Linked DNA regions of Caenorhabditis elegans. The protein of the gene in region 1 purifies or fractionates together with the protein of each later gene. This does not show direct contact. Each region holds a gene or a part of one and is shown in the gene's direction. Other genes may lie near its edges.

The links.
Region 2: the proteins of inf-1 (region 1) and eif-1.A fractionate together in Caenorhabditis elegans (co-fractionation; one large-scale study listed by BioGRID). This does not show direct contact.
Region 3: the proteins of inf-1 (region 1) and pbs-1 fractionate together in Caenorhabditis elegans (co-fractionation; one large-scale study listed by BioGRID). This does not show direct contact.
Region 4: the proteins of inf-1 (region 1) and eef-2 fractionate together in Caenorhabditis elegans (co-fractionation; one large-scale study listed by BioGRID). This does not show direct contact.

Annotation. Positions count from the first base shown.
Region 1 is NC_003281.10:6,928,424-6,932,488, forward strand, and holds inf-1 (Eukaryotic initiation factor 4A), read left to right. Parts: upstream 1-1,710; 5' UTR 1,711-1,713; coding exon 1,714-1,776; intron 1,777-1,825; coding exon 1,826-2,098; intron 2,099-2,182; coding exon 2,183-2,602; intron 2,603-2,654; coding exon 2,655-2,906; intron 2,907-2,961; coding exon 2,962-3,162; 3' UTR 3,163-3,530; downstream 3,531-4,065. Other genes in the region: flap-1 (Leucine-rich repeat flightless-interacting protein 2), read right to left, coding at 137-253, 301-387; Cell adhesion protein byn-1, read left to right, coding at 3,582-3,731, 3,801-3,913, 3,961-4,065. UniProt on the Caenorhabditis elegans protein: ATP-dependent RNA helicase which is a subunit of the eIF4F complex involved in cap recognition and is required for mRNA binding to ribosome.
Region 2 is NC_003282.8:4,809,033-4,812,493, forward strand, and holds eif-1.A (Eukaryotic translation initiation factor 4C), read left to right. Parts: upstream 1-1,901; 5' UTR 1,902-1,903; coding exon 1,904-2,003; intron 2,004-2,050; coding exon 2,051-2,335; intron 2,336-2,382; coding exon 2,383-2,648; 3' UTR 2,649-2,951; downstream 2,952-3,461. Other genes in the region: ubxn-6 (UBX domain-containing protein 6), read right to left, coding at 1-455; H06H21.37 (uncharacterized protein), read right to left, coding at 452-465, 516-663, 759-932; srw-95 (G-protein coupled receptors family 1 profile domain-containing protein), read left to right, coding at 3,097-3,197, 3,245-3,461.
Region 3 is NC_003282.8:1,708,296-1,711,424, reverse strand, and holds pbs-1 (Proteasome subunit beta), read left to right. Parts: upstream 1-1,679; 5' UTR 1,680-1,682; coding exon 1,683-1,760; intron 1,761-1,805; coding exon 1,806-2,005; intron 2,006-2,070; coding exon 2,071-2,521; 3' UTR 2,522-2,622; downstream 2,623-3,129. Other genes in the region: rpi-2 (Protein XRP2), read right to left, coding at 25-146; K08D12.3 (CCHC-type domain-containing protein), read right to left, coding at 504-859, 1,059-1,158; pugs-4 (C6 domain-containing protein), read right to left, coding at 2,891-3,010.
Region 4 is NC_003279.8:9,161,840-9,167,331, forward strand, and holds eef-2 (Elongation factor 2), read left to right. Parts: upstream 1-1,737; 5' UTR 1,738-1,814; coding exon 1,815-1,817; intron 1,818-2,109; coding exon 2,110-2,324; intron 2,325-2,370; coding exon 2,371-2,725; intron 2,726-2,773; coding exon 2,774-2,950; intron 2,951-2,996; coding exon 2,997-4,500; intron 4,501-4,554; coding exon 4,555-4,859; 3' UTR 4,860-4,971; downstream 4,972-5,492. Other genes in the region: clsp-1 (Claspin), read right to left, coding at 224-406, 512-824, 868-930, 976-1,282, 1,327-1,422. UniProt on the Caenorhabditis elegans protein: Catalyzes the GTP-dependent ribosomal translocation step during translation elongation.

The DNA of each region.
Region 1 (4,065 bases):
AAATCAGGATACTTTTTGAACTTTTTCAACGAAAATTTATTAATATTAAAAACGAAGGGTTACTGAAAATGAAAAACGTAGTTTCGAGAGTAAAACTTCAACGTCAAACGTGCATTCTCGTTAATAATCGACTTACAGCAGTATCATGACGATAAGCTTCCGCATCTTCTTCAACTTTTTTTTCTAACAACTGATATCTTCCTTGTCGGGCTTGTTCTCGTGTTTCTCGTTTCAATTTCATTCGAGCTTCCGCCTAAAACTTTTAGTTTTTAATTCGAATTTTTCAAATTGTTAAGATACCTCTCTGGAAATTTTGTCTAATGCTCTTTCTTCGGCTTCTGATCGGGTGATAGGTCGCCGGCGACCACTGGATGGGTATGAGCTCATGATTTCTGAAAATTGTATGTGTTTATGGTGTGTGCACAAGAAAGGAGAATTTGAATATTTTAAATGGCGAAAAATCAATAACGAACAGAGAGGAAGCAGCAGTGAAAATGAGTGTAATGTTTCCAACGCGCGTTGTGTCCGCGCGGATTCCGTCTTTCGAGATTTATGTCAATATGTGTGAGGGTTGAGTGAGGAGGAGGGAAATGAGGGAGAACAGCCTTCCGCAAAATTCAGGATTTTTATGGCCTGTGAACATGACAATGAATTTGATCTCTTTTTTTTATTTGATTTCAGATACCTTTTCTTCTCTGTATTTAATATTTATTCTTGTTCACAATACAAAACAGTCTACATAGGTCAATTTCTTCCTAATCCACGAACAATGCAGTTTTTGGCATTTAACCAAGCCCCTAATTCGGTGTCAACAGGTGTTTTTGAAGAGCAGATGGTGTTCTTCTCGTTTCTCTCTTATTCATCGCGTCTGGAACACCGCACGCTGTGCTCTCTACGGCTCTTACTCTCATTCGTCGCGCTCATTTGCCTAAATTGACCAGTCTGCTCGCTGTGCTCTCTCATCGTTCAACCAACATTTCTCACTTTCTTTATGAGGACCTCATACACACTCAGCCTTCTAACTTTCCTTATTATTTACTTTGGCTTCAAAAATCCAAATTAATTTTTTAAATTTCGAACCACTTTTAAGTGCATGTCACTGTCGTCAGTGTTAGTGATTACTCGTCTTTTTTTTACGCAGGTTGCATTCAAAAAACGGAAAAAGTATAGATTTTGAATCTATATCATTAAAATTATTTTAAAAATGAATTCAAAAATGTGTATAACCAAATGTACATAAAAATTATAAAGAATTGAATTGGTCAAATAAAAAAGAGCCATTTTTCTTCAAAAAAAATTGATGGTATGAATGTGCGCTCTAATGAACACTCTCTTCGCTTCGAGACCCGTCACTCTTGTTCGAATGATTTGGCCCGGTTTTGGGGCGGTTTCTTAGCCTCTTTTTAGATTTTAAAGCTTTTTTAAACGTTTTTTATGCTTTTCGTGTTAAGAATATATTTATTTCAAATGCTTTTTCTCAAAAAAACAAAGGTTTTTAGGTCGAAACTTTTCTTTCATTTCTTTTGGATGGGTTTATTCGAAAATTTTAGGATTGAGATACTGTATTTCGCAATTATTATTATTGAAGAACTATTTCAACACCCTTATCTTTGTATTTAATGCTGAAATACTTTCGAAATTTCATTTTACTTCAATTTCAGAAACTCAATCGCACTTCCAAAAGTTAATTTTTAACTTTTCAACCCACCTGTCATGACCGATGTTAAAAATGATGTGAACGTATCTTCGGTGGTCGATGCCGACGGCTTGATCGAGGTTAGTTAATGTACATAATTTATTATAATTTGAATACATTCAATTTTAGGGAAACTATGATCAAGTCGTCGAATCTTTCGACGACATGGAGCTCAAGGAGGAGCTTCTTCGCGGAATCTACGGATTCGGTTTCGAAAAGCCATCTGCTATTCAAAAGCGCGCAATTGTTCCATGCACCACTGGAAAGGACGTCATCGCTCAAGCCCAATCTGGAACTGGAAAGACTGCAACTTTCTCGGTCTCTATTCTTCAGAGAATCGACCACGAGGATCCACACGTGCAAGCTCTCGTTATGGCCCCAACCAGAGAATTGGCTCAACAGGTAAACTTTCTCACTCAGTGTATTTTAGTTATAGATTATTAGCAGATACTTTTAAAGAAAACTTTTCAAAATCTTTCTTTGTAGATCCAAAAGGTCATGAGCGCCCTCGGAGAGTACCTCAACGTTAACATTCTTCCATGTATCGGTGGAACCAGTGTTCGCGACGATCAACGAAAACTCGAAGCCGGAATTCACGTCGTTGTCGGAACTCCAGGACGTGTTGGAGACATGATCAATAGAAATGCTCTTGACACATCCAGAATTAAGATGTTCGTTCTCGACGAGGCCGACGAAATGCTTTCTAGAGGTTTCAAGGATCAGATCTACGAGGTTTTCCGTTCCATGCCACAAGACGTTCAAGTAGTCCTTCTTTCGGCTACTATGCCATCTGAAGTTCTTGATGTCACTAATCGTTTCATGCGCAATCCAATCCGCATTCTTGTCAAGAAGGACGAGCTCACCCTTGAAGGTATCAGACAGTTCTACATCAACGTTCAAAAGGATGTAAGTTTACTCGCCCAGTCTAAGAAATTGTTTTCATGAACCATTTTTTCAGGAGTGGAAGTTTGACTGCCTCTGTGATCTCTACAACGTTGTCAATGTTACTCAAGCCGTCATCTTCTGTAACACTCGCAGGAAGGTCGACACACTCACCGAGAAAATGACTGAAAATCAGTTCACAGTCTCTTGCCTCCACGGAGACATGGATCAAGCTGAGCGTGATACAATTATGCGAGAGTTCCGTTCAGGATCTTCCCGTGTTCTCATCACCACAGACATCTTGGCTCGTGGTATTGACGTACAACAGGTAAGTATAAATATTTGTGTTTATAATTCAATACTATGGAATGTATATATTTTAGGTCTCACTTGTTATCAACTATGATCTCCCATCCAATCGTGAGAACTACATCCATCGTATCGGACGTTCTGGACGTTTCGGTCGTAAGGGAGTTGCCATCAACTTCGTCACCGAGAACGATGCTCGTCAGCTCAAGGAAATTGAAAGCTACTACACCACTCAAATCGAAGAGATGCCAGAATCAATCGCTGACCTCATCTAAATTTTAATCCAATTCCGATCCCCTCCACGATTGTTCCACACGCTTTTCCCTTCCTCTTGTTTCCTCATATTTATCCATGTTATCTGTTTTCTCCTCCACCCCCACCGTCCCACATTTTTATTTTATGCGTGATTTCATCTTTTTAATCACCCCTTTTTAGTACTGGCCCTATCCCATCCAACTTGGTTCAAACATTCTAATTCTCTTTCAATTTAGAGTTTAGTATTGCCCCCTAAAAGTTATAGAGCCACCTTGGTTTTGTTTGACAAAATGTTTTTGTCTGGCGTTCTCTTTTTCTGGAAAATAATGAAATTGCGTATGTTACATTCATTTTAAATCTTATGAACAGGCTTCTGATCCTTTCAGAATATATTGAACACCGTAATTCTGCTAATTTTTAATTATGAATTTCCAGTAACATGGTGAAAAGGAATTTGAAAGGAAGGGGTGACAAATTATCAGCCAATGCTCCACTGGATAACCAGTTGGAAGCTGGTAAAGTTGCAAAGCAACGAGATGAGCTTCGCGAAAAGCAGAAGAGAAAAAGGGAAGACTCGCAGACAGACGAGGTCAGTAAATATTCAGGGAAAATTAAATATTATTTTCATTGACCAGAGAGTTCATAAAATTAGTTTCAGTTCGTTCCTGATTCGCTCTCATCAAAAATCTTGAATGAAGCTCGTAAGCAGCTTCTCGAAGAGGCACTGGAAAGACAAGAAACCGAATCAGCCACATCTAGTGTTCCAAAAAGGTAAATAAACAATTTATCATAATTCAATGCAAGTATTTCTGTTACAGACAACGCGGAGCTTGGCTTGGAGCTGATGCATCCGGCGACAAATCGGACGATGATGATGATGATAATGAAGAAGAAGACGACAATGGATTTGAAGATCAAGTTGT
Region 2 (3,461 bases), on another chromosome or scaffold:
ATCTGATCAGAAAGGAAATTTTTGATATCTTCAAGAAGATCTGCTTTCGAGCGAATATGATGCTCACCGAGCAACTCGGAAGTGTAGAGAACACGTGATATTGCGGATGAATGCTCGAGGTGTTGCTCACGGTCGGGTTGCTGCAGTGATGAAGTCCCAGAAATGTTGAGATCTTCAACCTGACGTCTCTCTTCTTCCAGCTCTCGTTTTGCAATCATTTGAATTCTTCGTTTTCCAGCATTTTGTTGAGGTTCATTCTTCTGCATCCGTTTGAAAGCAGCCTGAGCAGCAATATCAGCGGCCGCGACACGATCAATTTGGCCTCCCTGGGCGGCTCCAGCGTGGGCAGAAGGCTGCGAAGATGACTCGCCGGATGACAAACGAACACCTTCACCGCTCTTTTTGAAGTGATTCTGGACTCGCTTTTTGTTGAGGAATTTCTTGAAACTATTCATTCTTCTTTCTCTGAAATAAATTGGAATGGTTATCAGTGCAGAACTTGTTAAATATCTTACTATTTTTTTCGTTGCTCTTATTTCTCGCTTTCTCAATGTTCTCTCTTATGATAAACTCCTGAATGATTGGTGAATATCGATTCCACGCAATGATAGTGCCAACAGAGAAGATGAAAAGTAGAATAGAAAGAAAGAGTCCGAGAGCTACCTGAAATTTTCAAATTTTGGCCATTTTAGACAGAAACAAGAACAATAATTCACGTTAAAATTTCGAAAATCTCAAAAACATGTTCTCTAACGCACTTGTTTTTTATCCAACGAATAATTATCACAGAAGATAATCAAAGCACGATAAACGTTTTCTACTCCGAATGCTTCTGAGGAATCTGGAAGCGCGTCGGAGCTCTGATAAGCAACTGAATTTGTGCTCAACGGAGTCTGCTCAGTTGTCGGCTCGGCGACCAGAGGCTCTCCCATGCAAGAATAGCTGGAATTGTAGTTCTTTTTCAGAGAGATTTGCGGAAATTAATGATTGCGAAATAGGACAGAAGGCGATGACGACATTTGTGATATTGCACGGTGATAAACATATATTTTGGGTTGTATACAAACTTCAAACTTCATTTCAGAAAATTTGAAAAAAAGCTCATCTCGAAAACGCTATAAAAAACTTGGAGTTTTTCTATTGGAGAAAACTAAACTGGGGAAAGCTTTCGGACAGAAAAATATTATCTGCTGTATTTTTCATGATGTCGTTAATTTTGTGACTTAATAAACTACAAAAAAATGTAGGTAAAACACTTTTGCGTGAAAAGTTTGTGATTGTTTTCCCAAAATACGTTTTTGCGGTTAAATGTTCGTTTTGAGATGTTTATCTTACAATTCTTTTATATTTTGGACAATAATTATATTCTATGAAGTAATCTTTGATTCTGAATAACTTTTTTCCGAAAACAATTCGTTAAAACAACAAAATTTTAGAGAGAAAAATAAAAAATAAGCAAAATAAAAAATAAAAATAGCGAGTGTCGTAAATTGTGTCGCCAAGTCCGCAGTTACGTAACCTCGCGCCGCGCTCTTGCGATAGCAAACCCCGCCCACTTTTCTGTGCACTCCACATTTTCGTCGATTTTTCATTGAAATTTTTCTTCTGTTATTTTGTTTATTTTTGTCGATTGACGACATAATTTTAATCTCAAGCGCTGATAAAATTATTATTTCCAATTTTTAGAAATCACTTTTCATCAAAATACTCACGAAATCCAAGCAAACTGTTTATTTTGGGATAGTATACTCATTCTTCTTAATTTTTTGTTAAATTCCATTGAAATCTGACATTACCTTATGCATATTTATGTTCTTGTTTTTTCTACAATTTTTGCAGTCCTCTTTGCTTCTGTATTTCTCGTAACTTCAACTTTCCAAATTATTTCGTAATATTTTCAGCAATGCCGAAGAATAAGGGAAAGGGAGGAAAGAATCGCAGAAGAGGAAAGAATGAGAACGACTTCATGAAGCGCGAGCTCGACCTCAAGGAGGAGGGACAAGGTAGATTTTATAACTTCTTTCCCGAAAAACAAAAGCATTAATTCCAGAATATGGACAAGTCTCAAAAATGCTTGGTAACGGTCGTGTTCAAGTGTTCTGTTTTGATGGAAAGCAGCGTGTCTGCCATATTCGTGGAAAGTTGAGGAAGAAGGTTTGGATCAACGTGGGAGATATCATTCTCGTCGGTCTCCGAGATTATCAAGACGACAAGGGAGATGTTATTCTGAAGTACACCCCAGATGAAGCTCGCCGTTTGAAGAACGAGGGACTTATCCCAGAAAACGCCAAGCTCAATGAGAACGATGAACAAGACGAGGGAGAGGTTGAGTTCTGTAAGTTTATTTTTGCTGAAAATTAATGAAGTTCAATTTTTTTTCAGTGGATCACGTCGGAGACGAGGGAGAGGCCGGAGAAGCAAAGTCTGACTCAGATTCATCAGACAGTGATTCGGAGAAGTCTGACGAAGAGGCAGGATCGGATAAGGAAGAAGAATCGGACGATGATTCTGAAGAGGAATCAGACGAAGATTCAGATGATTCGGACAATATTCGGGAAGAGGACTTGGCAGCTGGTCGTGGATTTAAAGAGGACACTCGTCGCGGCGGAAATCGTGGTGGCAAGAACAAGTACGGAAAGAGACGCTAAATTGATTAAATTATTGGTTTTTAATTGTTTCCCCCGGTTTCTGTTCTTTCTCCCCCTAAAAATCCATTGTTTCTCTTTCGATCCTTTTCAGACATTATCTTCCCATCTTCTCTGTCTCCCGAAATTCCGTTACTTGAATGCTACAAAGTGAAATAATTCGATTGTGGTGTCCGATGATCAACACAACCTCAAGGTTTCGGTCCATCGGACACCACTTGATGAAACAACTCATTTATTGCAAATTATCCCGTATTCCACTATTTTCCTTTCATTTATATTGTTTTCTGATAAACTTTTCTTGTTATGGGTTTAAAGCAGCACACAACTCTCGACCTTCAAACCGAAAAGCAGGTGAAACATTTGCATCAAAATGTCACAACTCGCGGCCACGTGTATTCATATAGTAAAAATTATTTATTTCAGTTATTTTAAGCTGAATTTGAATGAAATGATTGACAGAGTGCTTCTTTATAACTTATCAACTTCTGCATTTCCCAGCTATGATAATGCGACTAGAATTGATTTATATTTCTTTCTTATAGCTGTTGAGCAAGTTTTAGCTTTGAAAATCCCGTAATATTACCGTCAAATTCCAGAAAGTTTGTCCATCCATCAATAATCATTAATATTGTAATTTCATCAATTGGGATTTTTACAACATCATTCCATTTATTCGTTTTATCTCGAAATTCAATGTTAAAATCGTCCGTAATCTTGATAATGATAGGAATCGCTATTTGTGATATATTAGTGATGTTTGTCTCTATTATTTATAACTATCTTTATTTGATTTTGGAATTTAATGTGAAACCC
Region 3 (3,129 bases), on another chromosome or scaffold:
TGCGAGACCACAAATTCCACTTACCACGAATACTTTGGAGGTTCACCTCCCTCTTCCGGTTTCGGCACCGCATCCTCGCTGACCTTGTAGCGATCCTCACGTTTAGACCGGCGCCCAAAAAGCTTTTTCGAAAAACAACAGCTCATTGTTCGAGGCTCCCGCAGAATATGCGAAAGTGAGTGAATGAGCAGCGCGAGTTGCTCGGCGAGAGCGCGCGTTGCTATGGAAACCCATGTGAGAGCATCACGTCGCCTTCACTTCCGATGCGAAAGAGGAGGAGCGCAAGACGACGACTTTAATCAACAATTTATTACCACTTTCGTTCAAGAGGTTCAGAGGTTGGGATGGGGGATAATAGCTGCAACCAGCATTCACATATAATATTTGAGATGCGGGGAAGAGGATTATTGGAAAAAGGAGTGAACGAAAGTTTCAGTTGAATACATTATTTCGAGTTACAGAACAATGAAAAGACAACGAAAATGGGGGGAATGATGATTGATTTAGTTGGTCTGGCTTGGGCAGTCGCGGGAGATGTGTCCGGTCTCCTGGCACTGGTAGCAACGCTTCTCCTCGGCCGAGCCACTCTCGGTGCACTCGCGGGAAATGTGCCCGGAGCGTCCGCAATTGTAGCACTTTTGTCCGCCGAAGCTTCTGCCTTCTCCACCGCGGCCTCCGTAGCCACCGCTTCCTCCCTCAGATCTGGCGGATGGGCAGTCACGAGAGTAGTGTCCACGTCCTCCGCAGTTGTAGCACGATCCACCGCCGCCGCCACCTCCACGTTGTCCTCCTCCGGATCCTCCCTTGGGGCAATCGCGAGAGAAGTGTCCAGTCTCTTGGCAGTTGTAGCAGGTGGATCCTGAAATAACATGAAATTAGTCTCGAGATTTCCGCTGTAAATTTATCATCAAATAACTCCTAATCTCCGCCAGCTTAAACACATTTCTCTTCGCCTCCACTTCTCCAGAACTTCAAAAATTATTGCAATTCGGTAAGAAATCAAGAGATAATGTATTTACCTAAATCAACTCAACACCCCAAATTCAACACCACTCCACCTCCTCCACCTCCTCTACGTCCACCATCGGACTCGCCATTCGGGCAGTTGCGGGAGATATGTCCCGGCTGTTGGCACTTGTAGCAATTTCTGTCCGACATTACTGCAAATAATTGATTTTAGAAAAAAGAAATTATCAGTTGCGAGGAATTACAAAAAAATAAACGGTTGAATGTCACAATTTCAATCAAAAATGGCGAAAATTCAGAGAAACAAAAATCCAAGACAGTGAGGGCGAGAAATCATGGATATTCAGTGACTAACATGACAAAAACTAATAAATACATGGAAAACTAGTTATAAAAACCAGTTTTAACGGGAAAAAAGTCGGCGAAATCAGAAAAAATCAAAGAAAATGTGGCCAGAACGTGTCGATCGTCCCAAAATCGAATGTTGGCCGCGTGCCAGGAAAGTTAGATGTGCAGGCAGTCCGGTGGAGCGCCAATTCAAACGTCATTTTTGCTGCATTGAGATTTGATGACAATGTTTTTTCTGCTCGGGTTTCTCGTTTTTAATGATTTTATTCTGAAAAATAACTACTAAATTTGTTTTTATACATTATTATTGATTTCTTAACGTTAAAATAACTTTTAAAAAATGAATTTAAGTCGATATTTTGCAGATAATGGATACTATGCGAGATGAGAAGCGCAAAGCCATTCCGGCAATCGGGTTCTATCCACAGGAAGAAATCAGCACTGGAGTGAGATTTTTAAATTGAAATTTCCACTAAAAGCTCAATTTTCAGACCACTCTCATCGCTATGGAGTACAACGGTGGAGTTGTCGTCGGAACCGACTCGAGAACCAGCGCCGGCTCGTTCATCACCTCCCGTGCCACCAACAAAATCACCCCGATCACCGATAATATGGTTGTGTGCCGTTCTGGATCTGCAGCGGACACTCAAGCGATCGCCGATATTGCCAAGTACCATATTGATGTTTATACGTAAGGAATTTTCAGTTGTTTTAAAATTAAATAAAATAATTTTTTTAAATAATCACTTTTTTCAGCATGACAGAGAACAAGCCAGTGACAATCTACCGCTCGAGCCAGATTTTCCGCCAATTCCTCTACAACTACCGCGAGCAGCTCTCCGCCTCAGTGCTCGTCGCCGGCTGGGATGAGGAGCTCGGCGGCCAGGTCTACGCAATCCCAATCGGAGGATTCGTGTCCCGCCAGCGATCGACAGCTTCCGGCTCCGGTTCCACATTCGTGCAGGGCTTCCTCGACAGTCAATGGAGACCAAACTTGACGCTCGAGGAGTGCAAGGCGATCGTGAAGCAAGCCGTCGGACTCGCCACCTTCCGTGACGGATCCTCCGGCGGAGTTGTCCGTCTCGCCGTGATCAACAAAGCCGGCTCACAGTTCGAGCTGTTCCGTCCCGACAAACCAGGATTCCCATTCGTGCAGACACCAACTCCACATCTCTCTTTCCCACCGCACATCGAACAAGTCCTCTAAAATCGTTTCGTTTTTCGATCTTCTATTGTATTTTCCCCTGTGCGACTATACTGCTAAGTTATTTGATTTCCCTCAATATTTATGAAAATTCACACTTGTCATCATTTTCGTTTCAATGCTGCTGCTGCTACCGCTGCTATGTCAAAAGTGCAGTAATTGGTTAGCCAAGCTACGCAATTGACCGGTATTCTCCTCCGGGAAACTGGTCACGTGGAACGTCAAGCGATTTATTAGAGTTAATTTAACAGAAAGAGTTCATAAATTGCGAAAATATACACGTGGCAGGTTATGGAAAGACGAAAATATTGCAATGGGCGAGTATCTCTAGGGAGGAGAATATTCAAAAAAAAAATTGGGGGAAATTAGAAATTAAAATCTGCAATCGACGAACTGCAAAATTCTGCCAAGGATCGTCCACGTGTACTGGGAGCCGCCAACGTTTGTGCAAGTGGCGAGCAGAGACGGAGCCGCTGAGATTGAAGCTCTTTGCTGAAAAATTAAGAAAAATAAAAATAATTGTTCCTTGTGGTTTCTTAGTTTTCACAGCTGAAAAGATACGGAAAGTCTGCGGATTTTCAGCGAAAATTGTAATTTTTTCTAAAATTCTA
Region 4 (5,492 bases), on another chromosome or scaffold:
TCTATCGATAATCAAGATTTGATAAAGGAACGAGATCCAAAAAACCTCTCTAAATTTATGAGAAAGAATTATCAAGTTCTCTATTTAAAAGATTTACAACAAATTATCTTTTGTTTAATGATTTGATAAACTTTTTCTTTGAGAATGCGAATAGTTTCAAGGAAAAGAAAAAGGGCTCCAATTTCAGATTTTCCGGAATGAGATTAAGTTTTCTAAAACATACATTTTTCTTTCAGTCGTGTCTTCTTCTATCAACATTTGCAAAGTGTCTGGAAAACCAGCAGACTGTGAAACTCCAAAACTTCCAGGGCACAAATTGAGAATATCGTTGGATCCGCCAGTAATTTCCGTCATTGTCGGCAGTTGAACTACTCCATTTTTTTCAACAACATCTGCTTCGGAACGCCTAAATTTTATTTATAAAAACTCTATCAATCAGAGATTTCTTTGAAAGATCTGACACATATGTTACACAAAAACCGCAGAAAATAAATTTAGATGAAACACTAACGAGTCGAAATTTGAAACAGTTGATCCAGGTCCTGATCTCTTCACATTATTGAAAACATCGTAAGTAAACGAGTCATTCAACAAGTTCACACTCATTTCATCGTCGGCTCGGCCATTATTCTTCTCATCTGAATCTTCTTCTCCGCTATTTTCAGGTTCATAGTCTTCATCATCTTCGCTTTTATATTCTTCTTCATTCACAGGTTTCTTTCCCTTCTTTTTTTTAAAAACGACATCTTCTTCCTCTTCTTCATCACTGCCAGCCTTCAGATGTTCATTATCCTCTTCATACATTTTCCGACGTTGCTCTTGTTCTGAAAACTCAAAAATTGTAAAAATTTAACACGAAGCCGATACCTTTCCGTCGCTTCGCTGACATCGAAGCTTGAAGCTTCTTTTTTAAAGTCTCGCTGGTCAGAACTGGAAAAAGTAAGTTAAATCAGAATTATTACGAACGAAACTAACGGCTCTTGGGTGCGTTCTTCGATATTTTTCGAGGAACGGCGAATAATTTAGCTTCTTCCGGACTTTTTGCCAATTTCGGAATTTTTTCAGCATTAAACGTCTTTTTGAACCATTTGTTACTTGGGTCATCATCTTCATTTGTCAGGTCAATCGTACTATTGGCAGATAATAGGACTCTCCCAAGCTTCGGAACAGGAAGAGGACTTCGTTCTAAAGCCAGTGCTTTACGACGATTAAGACGACGAAGTTTTCGGTCTTCTTCAGCTTGCTTATCGACTTCCGTGTTTTCACTAGATATCAGCTGCTCCTGAAATATGTATTTCGATCCAGTTTCGGTCTTAAAACCATTACCTGGGAATCGGACATGGTGTGTTCGGCAACTAGAGAAGATGGAGAATCTGTATCGTCTGCTGACACGGTTTTTGTTGAACAGGAATCAGAATTCATCTGGAAATTAAACTAAAACAATATTAAAAAGAAGTTTGGAAAATTTCAGTCTATAGAGCGTGATTTTCTTCGGTCAGTTATAAAGTACAACATTATGATAAATGTAATGGCCCTTTTTTGACTTTATTAAGAAAAAGTTAAACAGATTTGACAATTTTTTGTAGAAAAATAAGGAAAAAATGGCATTAAGATTCAAAAGTAGGCGCGAAAATGAATTGGTTGGCAGAGCGCCAAGTGTTTGAATTGGCGCTCTACCGTACTTTGCCTGCACATCTAACAGATCTTGCTGGAGGAGTTGACAACGCAAATTTCTTTACTCTTGTCACGCCGCTATCCTCTGTGCGGTCCTTTTTTGTTGTTGTATCTGAAGAGAACCCTACAAAAAACTAAAAATGGTGAGTATTTATCCCTCTAATTATTGTAACTGTACGTTCTGATGAATTGTCGTCTATTATTTTCGAAAAAAATTTAGGACAAAAACGTAAAGTTTCAAAATAATTAAATGAAATTAGCAAATTTTGGGCCTACTGAGATTTCGTTCCCGGATATGTTAATTAAATTAAATTTCAACTGAGAACCATTCAGTATTATCAAAATCTGAATTAAATTATGGATTTTCAGAAAAAATTTCGTTAGGTAAAATTTCATAATTTTTATCGATTGAAATAATTATTTTTTCCTCTTCAGGTCAACTTCACGGTCGATGAGATCCGTGCGCTTATGGATCGCAAGCGTAACATTCGTAACATGTCTGTTATTGCTCACGTCGATCACGGAAAATCTACCCTTACCGATTCACTCGTTTCCAAAGCCGGTATTATTGCCGGATCCAAGGCTGGAGAGACTCGTTTCACTGACACTCGTAAGGATGAGCAGGAGCGTTGTATTACCATCAAATCTACGTAAGTTCATTTTTAGGATTTCAGCTTAAATATAATATTGTTTTAGTGCTATCTCTCTTTTCTTCGAGCTCGAGAAGAAGGATTTGGAGTTCGTCAAGGGAGAAAACCAATTCGAGACGGTTGAGGTTGATGGAAAGAAAGAGAAATACAACGGTTTCTTGATCAATTTGATCGATTCACCCGGTCACGTTGACTTCTCGTCTGAAGTTACTGCTGCTCTTCGTGTTACTGATGGAGCTCTCGTCGTCGTCGATTGTGTTTCCGGAGTGTGTGTCCAAACCGAGACTGTGCTGCGTCAGGCTATTGCTGAGCGTATCAAGCCAGTTCTTTTCATGAACAAGATGGACCGTGCCCTTCTCGAACTTCAACTCGGAGCCGAGGAACTTTTCCAAACCTTCCAAGTAAGCTTTGTGTTTCAACTGTAACATTGTTATATATTTGTCGTTTAGCGTATCGTTGAAAACATCAACGTCATCATTGCCACTTACGGAGACGACGATGGACCGATGGGACCAATCATGGTTGATCCATCTATCGGAAACGTCGGATTCGGATCTGGACTCCACGGATGGGCCTTCACCCTCAAGCAGTTCGCTGAGATGTACGCCGGAAAGTTCGGAGTTCAAGTAAATTGATTGTTGTATGTTAAAATTATATAAAATATTTTTACAGGTTGACAAGCTCATGAAGAACCTCTGGGGAGATCGTTTCTTCGATCTCAAGACCAAGAAGTGGAGCAGTACTCAGACCGATGAGAGCAAGCGTGGATTCTGCCAATTCGTTCTTGACCCAATCTTCATGGTCTTCGACGCCGTCATGAACATCAAGAAGGACAAGACCGCTGCTCTTGTTGAGAAGCTCGGAATCAAGCTCGCCAACGACGAGAAGGATTTGGAAGGAAAACCACTCATGAAGGTCTTCATGCGCAAGTGGCTTCCAGCCGGAGACACTATGCTCCAGATGATCGCTTTCCATCTTCCATCCCCAGTGACTGCTCAAAAATACAGAATGGAGATGCTCTACGAAGGACCACACGACGACGAGGCCGCCGTTGCTATCAAGACCTGTGATCCAAATGGACCACTCATGATGTACATCTCCAAGATGGTGCCAACTTCCGATAAGGGACGTTTCTACGCTTTCGGACGTGTGTTCTCCGGAAAGGTCGCCACTGGAATGAAGGCTCGCATTCAAGGACCAAACTACGTTCCAGGAAAGAAGGAAGATCTCTATGAGAAGACCATTCAGCGTACCATTCTTATGATGGGACGTTTCATCGAGCCAATTGAGGATATTCCATCCGGAAACATCGCTGGACTTGTTGGAGTCGATCAATACCTCGTCAAGGGAGGAACCATCACCACTTACAAGGATGCCCACAACATGCGTGTCATGAAGTTCTCCGTATCTCCAGTCGTCCGTGTTGCCGTCGAAGCTAAGAACCCAGCTGATCTTCCAAAGCTCGTCGAAGGACTCAAACGTCTTGCCAAGTCCGATCCTATGGTCCAATGTATCTTCGAAGAATCCGGAGAACACATCATCGCCGGAGCTGGAGAGCTTCACTTGGAAATCTGTCTGAAGGATTTGGAGGAGGACCACGCTTGCATTCCACTCAAGAAGTCTGACCCGGTCGTCTCTTACCGTGAAACTGTTCAATCCGAGTCTAACCAGATCTGCTTGTCCAAATCTCCAAATAAGCACAATCGTCTTCACTGTACCGCTCAGCCAATGCCAGATGGTCTCGCCGATGATATCGAAGGAGGAACCGTCAACGCTCGTGATGAGTTCAAGGCTCGTGCCAAGATCCTCGCCGAGAAGTACGAATACGACGTCACTGAAGCCCGTAAGATCTGGTGCTTCGGACCAGACGGAACTGGACCAAATCTCTTGATGGACGTCACCAAAGGAGTGCAATACCTCAATGAAATCAAGGACTCCGTTGTCGCTGGATTCCAATGGGCCACTCGCGAAGGAGTTCTTTCCGACGAAAACATGCGCGGAGTTCGCTTCAACGTTCACGATGTCACCCTCCACGCTGACGCTATCCACAGAGGAGGTGGTCAAATCATCCCAACTGCCCGTCGTGTGTTCTACGCTTCGGTTCTTACCGCCGAGCCACGTCTTCTCGAGCCAGTCTACTTGGTCGAAATTCAATGCCCAGAAGCCGCCGTTGGAGGTATGTTGCATATTTTCAAAACTTATACGTTTTTATATTACTTATTTATTTTAGGTATCTACGGAGTGTTGAACAGAAGAAGAGGACACGTTTTCGAGGAGTCTCAGGTCACAGGAACTCCAATGTTCGTCGTCAAGGCTTACTTGCCTGTCAACGAGTCCTTCGGATTCACCGCCGATCTCCGCTCCAACACCGGAGGACAAGCCTTCCCACAATGCGTGTTCGACCATTGGCAGGTGCTTCCAGGAGACCCGCTTGAGGCCGGAACCAAGCCAAACCAGATCGTTTTGGACACCAGAAAGAGAAAGGGGCTCAAGGAAGGTGTCCCAGCCCTTGACAACTATCTCGACAAGATGTAATTCTGTCAAGATTGTTTATTGTTAATTTTTCTATTATAATAAACACGGTTGTTTGTTACTTTTTCTCATCATTTTTGTGCTAATCCACCTCTGGAATAAATCGTAAAAATTTATTTGGTACGTTGAAATATATTTGAATGTTTAGCAATCTTGTACCCTCTTCGTATTTGTCGCAGCTAAATAGTATATTTAACTGGATCTTGTAAATATTTATATATTACCGCCCTAAAACGATGGCTTCATAAACACAAAAAGTTTAAAAATGGATCCCTAGGATTGGAAACTCGGTCTTGTAGGTTTGAAGTGTGCATGGAAGCCATTGTTCTGACGCGAGTGCAATCTTGGCCATTGAATTTGTTTCGGCCTGAACATTTTTCTTTGCGCTGCAACATTTTCACATGAAATTCACGTGCTCTTGTAAGACTATTGACCTAAAATCATGGCGCGCGGGCGGTTAAAATACCATTTTCTATCACTTGTCACCGTTGCCGCCAACAATTTTCGGCTCATTTTCACTCAGTTTTATTTCACTGCGAACTATCAAAACGGACCCATTTCTCTGATTTCTCTCCTGCTTCGTTCTGCACTCCTCCCATGAAAGTTTTTCTTCTTTTTTTTTTCGTCACATTGAAG